Kluyveromyces lactis: one gene and its partners. The main gene of each other region encodes a partner of the protein of the gene in region 3 in a complex. Links are inferred from orthologs where the notes say so. Each region holds a gene or a part of one and is shown on either strand. Other genes may lie near its edges.

Region 1 (3,033 bases), on a different chromosome or scaffold from region 3:
AGAACACTTCAAGAAAGAAAGAAAAACAAAAGATTAGCGATAAGCGGCTTTTAGCAGTCACAGAGTTGATTATCCATCGCCAGGTGCCTATTTCCTACTAGGAATTTTATTTAACAGAATGTACTAAACCTAACATTCCCGGCCAGTGAATATTATGATGGTTATTGCAAATACGAAAAAATAAGAACTCCTCATAGGGGGCTCGAACCCCTGACATTTCGGTTCCTTGCGAGCAATGCTTAAAAGCCGAACGCTCTACCAACTGAGCTAACAAGGACGAGTTCTCAAGTTCCTCAGAGTTTTGGAAGTATTTTATACTTGATGTTGAAGTTTTAGTTGAATACCGTTTTCCGTACCTTATCCGCTCTTGCCTATATCAACCAGAGATACGCTAATAATGAGAGAGGATTGTGAGCTATTCGCAAACGGTTATATTGCATTTGTGACTATGTACATGTAATTAAGACCCATATTTTAAAGAGAGCCAACAGTCTATTTATGATTGGAAGTACTGGTATACTCCTATTGTGTGGAGAACAATCTGTTGTTAACCGCAGACCAGTTCAAGTTATCTAAACACTTCCTTACGTAAGTGGATCTGCCCTTAATACCGTAATCATTCAAGTATGAATGGTCCCACAAACTGATCGCAATCAAAGGCATTGTCCAATCTTTAACGTCTGCATTTGCGGCAAGTAGATCTCTCATCGTTACAAACTGTTCCATTTCTTCTAAGGATAGAGCACTGTTCAAATCGAAAGATTGGTTTCTAGCAAAGTAGTATGGAGTACCATTATTTTGAACTGTTAGGATGTGAAGTTCCTTGGCATCATTTTCCACAAGGAATAGCCATCCTTGACCTAACACATCTTCTTCTGCATGTCTAACCATTTCATCCTTAAAAGCATCCCAAGTCATTGAATATTGTGATTCTAGCTTCTGTAGAAACTCACGAGATGGATGTGTAACTTGTTCCATAGGCAATATGTTTTCTATGAACAAATGGTTATTGTGCAAAGCACTAGCCAAATTGAAAATGTTTGTTTGGTATGATTTCTTCGCAGTGTGCAGTACTAAATGGAATGGCAAGTAGGATTCTGCGGCAGTTCCTGCAGATGCCAGTGTTAGCTTATCGCACAAAAGCTGCTGCTGGTCAACCCAGCAAGTTTTGAATGTGTTAGCGCTCATAACATGAGGGATGCCTGAATCCAAAAGTTGTGAAATACCAGGTATCTTTGGAACTGTGTGTATTCCTCTGAACAGTTGACGCCCAAACATTGACATTAAATATTTTTAGTTAGTTGCCTCAATTATATCAATCGTTCCGAAACTCTAGGAAGAATGTAAATAGGATGCATTGAGCAAGAAATAGTAGACTTTCTAGTTATGCATTTTAGATTCATGAATTGATACAAGTCGAAATGATTTCAATTTTTCCTGTTCGGCAATGTTGAATGCTAAGAAAAATTTTAAGATTTGAAATGTTACCCGGAACTCATTATCTTCTCTAGCTTAATGAACTAGACTAATAATCAATAAAGTCCAAATAAGATACACCCGTAGGATATAATCCGACAAGAGGTAGACAAGGAGATTCGTGGGAAGAACCTTCGAGTTTTTAATTTCAATTCTTTCAATGATTAAATTCAAGTATTATTACTCCCTCTTATCTTTTCTTATTTTATATTTTTGAATAACATAATCACAGCAAAAACCTGGTAAATAAAACAAACATTATTGAGCTGAGTTGTCTACGGACTTGATGACATTTTTTAGTTACACCTAAAGGTGAATTATGCGGATTTAAAAGGCTAGTTATACATAGTCTTGAAAGGCTTGAAGAACCAGGAGAAACTGTGGACGCGTTTGGTGATTAGTTGATAGCATTCTAATGTCATTTGGTGTACCTTTGTCTCAACTGATACAAGCGCGTGCAGATCATGTACGAAGTGGCATTGAGAGTTTAGACGATTCATTGAATGACGGATTCCAACCACAGAGTATCTACGAGGTTTACGGACCTCCAGGAATTGGCAAGACAAAGTTCGCGGTACAATTAGTGAACAATAATCAGAATAGGATGAAATGTCTGTGGATTGACACGTTCCAGCAAGTACCACTGAAGCTTATAGAGCAAGGAGATGAGGACGAAGTCCATTTCAAAGGGTGCCAATTCGCAAGAGTGAAGAAATTTGCTCAACTGTGGTACATGTTTCAGAATTTAAAAGAGACGTACGGGCTCATAATAATCGATGGTTTATCTCAGCTTTTGGTAGAGTATCTCCATATGTACGAGAAGAACAGTGGATATTCTAACCATCGACAGACCTTGCACGATTTCAAGGTGAAAAGTTTGATACAATTGCTTGTCACCATAACTAAATACGCCACTTCAAACAATACGGTGGTGGTATTACTTAATGACGCTATGAACACAGGTTACCAGGACTATTCAGACGATGCAGTTGTCTCATACAACGATCCCAGCAACGGAACCCACTCAGATGGTTCCTTTAGCAATTTCCTCGTGAAATCTCAACGGAAACGTCACGTGCAAGTGTTGAAGAGTGGATTAGTAGCAAATGCAGCCGTTGGAAGTAAAGATGCCCGTTGGGAGGTGTTTCTTCGATGCAGGATCGGTGTGTTCTGGAATTGGGATGCAGAACAAAAGCAGAATCCTAACTCCCAGAAAAGAATCATCCCCGAGGTATCACGGCAGTTTGTTGTACAACATCAACAGCCAGTGGGCTCGAAGAATAAACTGGTTTGGGTTAAGACTAATGAATCTGGGAACTTTTATAGCTGTCACACAACTATAGTCGCAGAAAACCCAACAACTGCTGTCACTGACAATCTTCTTCCTACGAACACTTCCTCAAGTGCGACAGCTGCTGCTGCTGCAGTAGCCGCAGCACCGGTGCTTCCCCCAAACAAGAGAAGACGGGTTTTATACACGGAGCCAAGTCCGAGCCGTATGCTATTAGATGTTCAAAGTCACAGTCAGCCCGTAACACCAAACTCTTCGCAATCAAT
Region 2 (2,658 bases), on a different chromosome or scaffold from region 3:
TCGTTACTGCTCTATTGGCGCCTGGTTCTAGTCTACCAGGTCATGCAATTGGGTTACTATTAGGATACTTCATGGGGTTGAAAGAGAATTGGGTAGCCAAGATTACTCCACCAAGCTTTGTATTGAAGAAAATTGAAACATGGGTCGATCCATTGATCAATCTGATCCCATTCGGTATTAAGTACTATAGGGAAGTTGAAGTGGACAGATCACTTGAATATACTTCCGTTTACCTGGGGTCAGAATCCAGATTGCCCTTGCATAATACGGATACTCCAGCGGAGCCCACATTTCAAGGAAACGGAAGAGTCTTGGGAAATTGAAATGTGAATCCTCAGAAATTAGATACTAGAGATTTAAATCATCTGCTGTTCTTCTTCTTTTTCTTCAAACCCAACTTTTGAAATATTGATAATTATATTTACATGCGTGTTACTTCGATGCGGCGGGGAGAATTATATTCATTCTATATACATAGGGAAACATCCTTTTTAATTATTTTCTGTCATTCCTCTTTTTCTCTCATACGTTGAGTTCCTCGAGTATGTGCTTTCTCAAGATGTTCTTCTTGATATTCTTCTTCAACAGTTGAGGATTCTCCAAACCTTTCGATAGTAAAAATTCATTAGCCAAGGATTCGTTCTTGGTATACTCTGCCAATTTTTCTGTAATAGCATCGATCTTCTGCTGCTGTTGTTTCACTTGGGTTTCAATCTTGAGAATATCCAACTGTAATATTTGCTTCAAGGATTCCGGACTAAACTTATCAATTCCGTAACGGCTCTTAATCTCTTTAACTGCGGCAGAATCCTCGGTACCATCTGTATAAGCCTTCTGTAATACACGAACATCATTCAAAAGTGTCGATTCCACACCCTGTTTACGTTCTCTCCTTTCTAAAAAGGCCTTAGTCTTCTCGTTTTCCTCGCTGGCAACGTTGATCTTGGCCTGTTCTTGGAATAAAGCAAATTGTTGACCTTTATTTCTGATAATTTCAGCAACGGAAAAAAACTTTCTCTTGGACAAAGGTCTCGTAGCTTCAATACGTACTAAATCCCCTTCACGAGAAACCTCAGATTCATCATGAACCAAATAATCCTTCCTATGGAACAACTCTTTGTTGATTCTCTTATCGAAAACTTTGGTCTCAACACGAACTTTCACAGTCTTCTGCATCTTCCCTTGGGAGATGACCATCCCAATAAAATTTTGACGAGCCATGGTTGAAGGTGGGCTAATTTATTCTTGGATAGTGGTATCGACGAACCAATTGACACAGAGCTAACTAGACTGCTCTATTGTTCTTTTAACAGCATCGACCTAACCGTTCATGGCCTCAAGGCTTTAAAATTTTTTGATGTTGGAAAGATCACCACCGTTTCTAATGATAGATCACGTGATTTAGTTCTTCACCAAGAATATGGAGGTATGAGGTTAGTCTTGGGTTTTATAGAACTAAACTACTTCTTAGCACACTTGGCCCAGTTTGAAACGTCCGTGGGTAGATTAGAATGTTATAAGGCAATGTGGGACGCTAAATGTCCCTTTTTCATGTTCCTGTTGCTCTTGAGAATGGCAAACGGCTTAACATTCTGGCCATAAAAATTAAAGGATTGGTCTGTTTTAGAATCTTCACATGACCTTAAATATCGAAACTAACCGAGAGAAGGGGTTTGAAGGGGTCTACGATACCAGAAAGACCAATCAAAACACTGCGATATACATTTAAATTACAGAGGATTTCTATTTCAAAGATTTTTCAAGGAAAACTAGCCATTAATCATGGATTATCGAAATAGTAAAAGGTCCAGTATCTCATTTGGAAGCTATCAAAGGCAACTGAACCTGTTAGACAATGTAGGGAACAACGGAGTTAATTTCTACCAGCGACCAAACCAAGGCCATTCTCAACAGTTACAACATGGGCAGCAACAGCAGCAACAGCAACAGTTGGGACTGGGGAGTGGGAATAGTAACTATACATTGGACAAGCTAAAAACGGTAACGACATGTCAGTACCAGTCCAGCGCTCCACTTTTCGCGCTTTCTTGGAATCAGAACGATCAATGTGCCCTGGGGACATATAAGGAAGATTCCTACAATAGAATAGAGATCATCAACGGATCGAACGATTATTCTACATGGGAATGTACCAACGTTGCTAACGTGGTTTATCCTATATCCAGGATCCAATGGATGCCTCAAAACAATACAAGACTAGCAACATGCTCGGATTCCCTAAGGATATGGTCGTTGGATGGCAGTTTACAGGAACAGATCAACCTTTCTTTATACAAATACGGGAAACACCCTAGTTCTGCGTCTCAAAAGGATACTGTCACGTTGGGCCAACTCCCACCCGTCACATCGTTCCATTGGAGTCCCATCTCCCCTAACCTACTATTATCGTGTAGCATCGACACGACGTGTACCGTATGGGATCTTTCGAACTCTACCAACTACGTAAAGACGCAATTGATTGCACATGATAGCGAAGTGTTCGACGTGAAATTCTTGGCACAATCGACGCAGTTGTTTGCCAGCTGCGGTGGTGATGGATCCGTCAGAGTGTTTGACCTCAGATCACTGGCACACAGTACCATCGTGTACGATCACGGGAACGAGACTTCACGCGGCTCCAGCGGTGGTGGAGCAGCA
Region 3 (3,128 bases):
CAAAAAGTATATTCGCAACAAGTACTTCTCAAATCCGGCAGATAACACTGAAAAAAATACCTAGATAATAATATTCGGGTAACAATGAAAGTTTAAAGTGACGGAGAAGAGGAATGTGTAACGTTCTGGAATCGGAACGGTCATTTCTGGTATCTGTCGAGCATTTTATTTTTCATGCGAGGAAGAAGATCTGGCTAGAACCATTACTTCTTGTCAGAGAACGAAAACGCTGCATTAGAGAAAATATTAAGAGAATGCTACTGCACGTATTGGCAGGAAAAATAAGAGGAAAAGAAAACTTGCAAGGCCAGGTGGTTTCCTTTCTTACCATATGTATATCACTGCTGGGTAGCGTTAGTAAATGCATTAGTTTGTCAATCTACCTGCGGCATGGAATTTTCACATGACGCACAAGTAAATCACTATTGATGTCGCATTGCCACTAGGGATTGGTTCCAGAAAACATAACTTCTTCCGAATTGATTTCAGATTCTACCTCCATCCATGTGAACGAGTATTTCGTTCCAATATTTTTATATAAATTAACGAGTAACTTATATGGTAATCTTGTCAGATAAGTGGAGTTGATTTCATTTGGAAAGAGAACCAACAGGATTGGTATGTCTCATATGAATTTATTCTCGGACCAAAATTGAGAAAGAAAACATCTGCAGTTTTTCAAAAATTCAGGCATTTTGGGATTACTCTCTCTTCATGCAGGGCAAGACACCAGATCATCTTTATTCTATTGGTCTTCATGTTCCTGCATAACTAAATACTATTTGTATTTAGTTCATTATTTCCTGTAGATAAAGAATCTTTCTAAATGGGTTTTAAAACATAGTAAAATATATACCTAAAAGAAGAGTCTTCGTGATATGAATGTTTCATCTTTAAGGTACTGAAAGGATATGGTACTAATATTGATTCTAATGACAACAAAGCCCGTGTATAACATTGCCAGCTGAAACATGTTGCTCCACTATGTATCAGAAGAATATGTAGTGTTTTGAAAAAAGATCTTCTCTGGAAATTGTATATAGCGATACTAAACCACTAATATAGATGTTTTAGTGACCGGCTTTATTAAAGCAGGTAAGTCGTTGTTTAAGCGACAGAGCTCAATATTGGATGAAACAGACTCAGAAATGAAACAAAAAAACATGTTACCCGGATAGCATTCCATATGATAGTGTCATCTACCATGTAAGGGTAAAGATGCGTGGAACATACCTGAAACATACTCCATGTATCCTCCTTTGAACGTCTGAAGAAGATTTTAAAGATGTGCAACCACTGCTAATCTTACCATACCTTAGTGGGTGGATCTTCAGCTAAGAATTGTGAATTTCTAATCACATGATCAAGAATAATGCTCTCTCATTTGTAACGATTGATCGATTTTCAAAAATTAAAAAAATTTCAATAGTTAATACAGAATGGCAACATACTCAGACATATACACCAGAATAAGGTCTAATATAATTGACACCAGAAGTCTTTTGAAGCAGGTTTAGACAGGTCGAGGAGCAAAATTCAACATAGTGAGTTGCAGCGTCTTTCTCAATAACCCTGATCGTATTTGAGAATGTTCGTCCGTTGTTTCTCGAGCACTGCTCGTGTATTTCAACAAGACCTGTTGAAGAAATACTACTCTCCAGAACTACTCAAGTCTATTTCCTTAGCTGATAAAGTAATTCCTGACAATGTAGAGTTCAAACCACAGACAAATGTTGAATTCTCACCACCATATTTGGATAACTTTGCCACATTACATCCTTATTGGGATTATAAACCAAACTCTCCACATCTACATTCAAGCTCATCTTCGGTATTCGTTCAAGAGATGGAAAAGCATCCAGATTTGACTCCTCCTGTGGGTTCATACTTACAAACTGAAGGCAGATCAGATATACAAAACATTGCCAATAATATCCAACTACAGACGGGGTTCGATGCTCAACATATCGCCAGAAAACTAGTGATGAAACCATTGATCTTAAAGATGGTTTCTAATCAAACTGCAAAAGGTAAAATTCCATCCTTCTATTCTCTTGTGGTTGTTGGTGATAAGAATGGTATGGTAGGAATCGGTGAGGGTAAATCCCGTGAAGATATGGCAGAATCCATCAAGAAAGCTCATTGGGATGCAGTGAGGAACTTAAAAGAAGTGCCTAGATTTGAAAAAAGAACTATTTTTGAAGACATAGACTATAGATACCACGGTGTGAAACTATTCTTGAGAGCTGCTAAGCCAGGTTTCGGTCTAAGAGTCAATCACGTAATTTATGAAATTTGTGAATGTGCTGGTATCAAAGATTTAAGTGCAAAAGTTTACAAGAGTAGAAATATCATGAACATAGCCAAGGGTACTATAGACGCTATCACCAAGTCTCAAAAATCTATAGATGAAATTGCTCTAGGTAGAGGTAAGAAAATTGTGGATGTCAAGAAGGTATATTACTCTGCTTGATTTCAACCAACTCCATATTTAAATTACTTTCACTTTTTCTCCTATGAAGAAACTATCTGAACAACCTTCACATGATTCAATTACGACCTAGATGATCATTCTCATAAAACAATCAATACTCAGATCTACGTAACCTTGTACATATTAATATCCCCACAACGTCGGAGTTCCAAATTCTTCTTCACGTGACTTTTAGAATATTTCACACTTTTCTGATCTTTAAAAGATTGGAAAATGAAGATGATGAAAGCAGATGAGTAGTATATCTAATCGCGTATAAACATGATTAGAAAAGCTTTAACTTCTTTGCTGTTACTAATTGTTCAAACGCATTTCAATTCTTAGCGGAAGCTACTAGTATCACACAATTAGCAAAGCATATGTTTCGCTTCATTGTGGCTAGGCCATTCACTGTACCAAAGGTAAGGCCGGTAAGACGACTTTATAGCACGGTCAGGACATCGACTGTTGACTGGAAACCTATCAAAACAAAGAAGACACCTACTGAAGGATTTCAAAAGAAGGAATCACGATGGGGTAAGCGTATTTTTCTAGGACTGATGATTGCCATGCCCGTGATCTCGTTCTACTTAGGAACCTGGCAATTAAGAAGATTGAAATGGAAAACCAATCTAATTGCTTCCTGCGAAGACAA

The links. Proteins that work in one complex are often made in the same cells at the same time.
Region 1: MRPS5 (region 3) and RSM26 share a complex: the UniProt entries of both Saccharomyces cerevisiae proteins name them as parts of the mitochondrial small ribosomal subunit. The link is inferred for Kluyveromyces lactis from reciprocal best matches to the Saccharomyces cerevisiae genes MRPS5 and RSM26.
Region 2: MRPS5 (region 3) and MRPS17 share a complex: the UniProt entries of both Saccharomyces cerevisiae proteins name them as parts of the mitochondrial small ribosomal subunit. The link is inferred for Kluyveromyces lactis from reciprocal best matches to the Saccharomyces cerevisiae genes MRPS5 and MRPS17.

The regions. Positions count from the first base shown.
Region 1 is NC_006041.1:118,063-121,095, reverse strand, and holds RSM26 (mitochondrial 37S ribosomal protein mS42), read right to left. Parts: upstream 1,285-3,033; coding exon 523-1,284; downstream 1-522. Other genes in the region: putative DNA-dependent ATPase RAD55, read left to right, coding at 1,892-3,033. UniProt on the Saccharomyces cerevisiae protein: Component of the mitochondrial ribosome (mitoribosome), a dedicated translation machinery responsible for the synthesis of mitochondrial genome-encoded proteins, including at least some of the essential transmembrane subunits of the mitochondrial respiratory chain.
Region 2 is NC_006040.1:1,091,034-1,093,691, reverse strand, and holds MRPS17 (mitochondrial 37S ribosomal protein uS17m), read right to left. Parts: upstream 1,222-2,658; coding exon 523-1,221; downstream 1-522. Other genes in the region: putative rhomboid protease RBD2, read left to right, coding at 1-323; KLLA0_D12760g (uncharacterized protein), read left to right, coding at 1,783-2,658. UniProt on the Saccharomyces cerevisiae protein: Component of the mitochondrial ribosome (mitoribosome), a dedicated translation machinery responsible for the synthesis of mitochondrial genome-encoded proteins, including at least some of the essential transmembrane subunits of the mitochondrial respiratory chain.
Region 3 is NC_006038.1:1,002,153-1,005,280, reverse strand, and holds MRPS5 (mitochondrial 37S ribosomal protein uS5m), read left to right. Parts: upstream 1-1,588; coding exon 1,589-2,473; downstream 2,474-3,128. Other genes in the region: cytochrome oxidase assembly protein SHY1, read left to right, coding at 2,854-3,128. UniProt on the Saccharomyces cerevisiae protein: Component of the mitochondrial ribosome (mitoribosome), a dedicated translation machinery responsible for the synthesis of mitochondrial genome-encoded proteins, including at least some of the essential transmembrane subunits of the mitochondrial respiratory chain.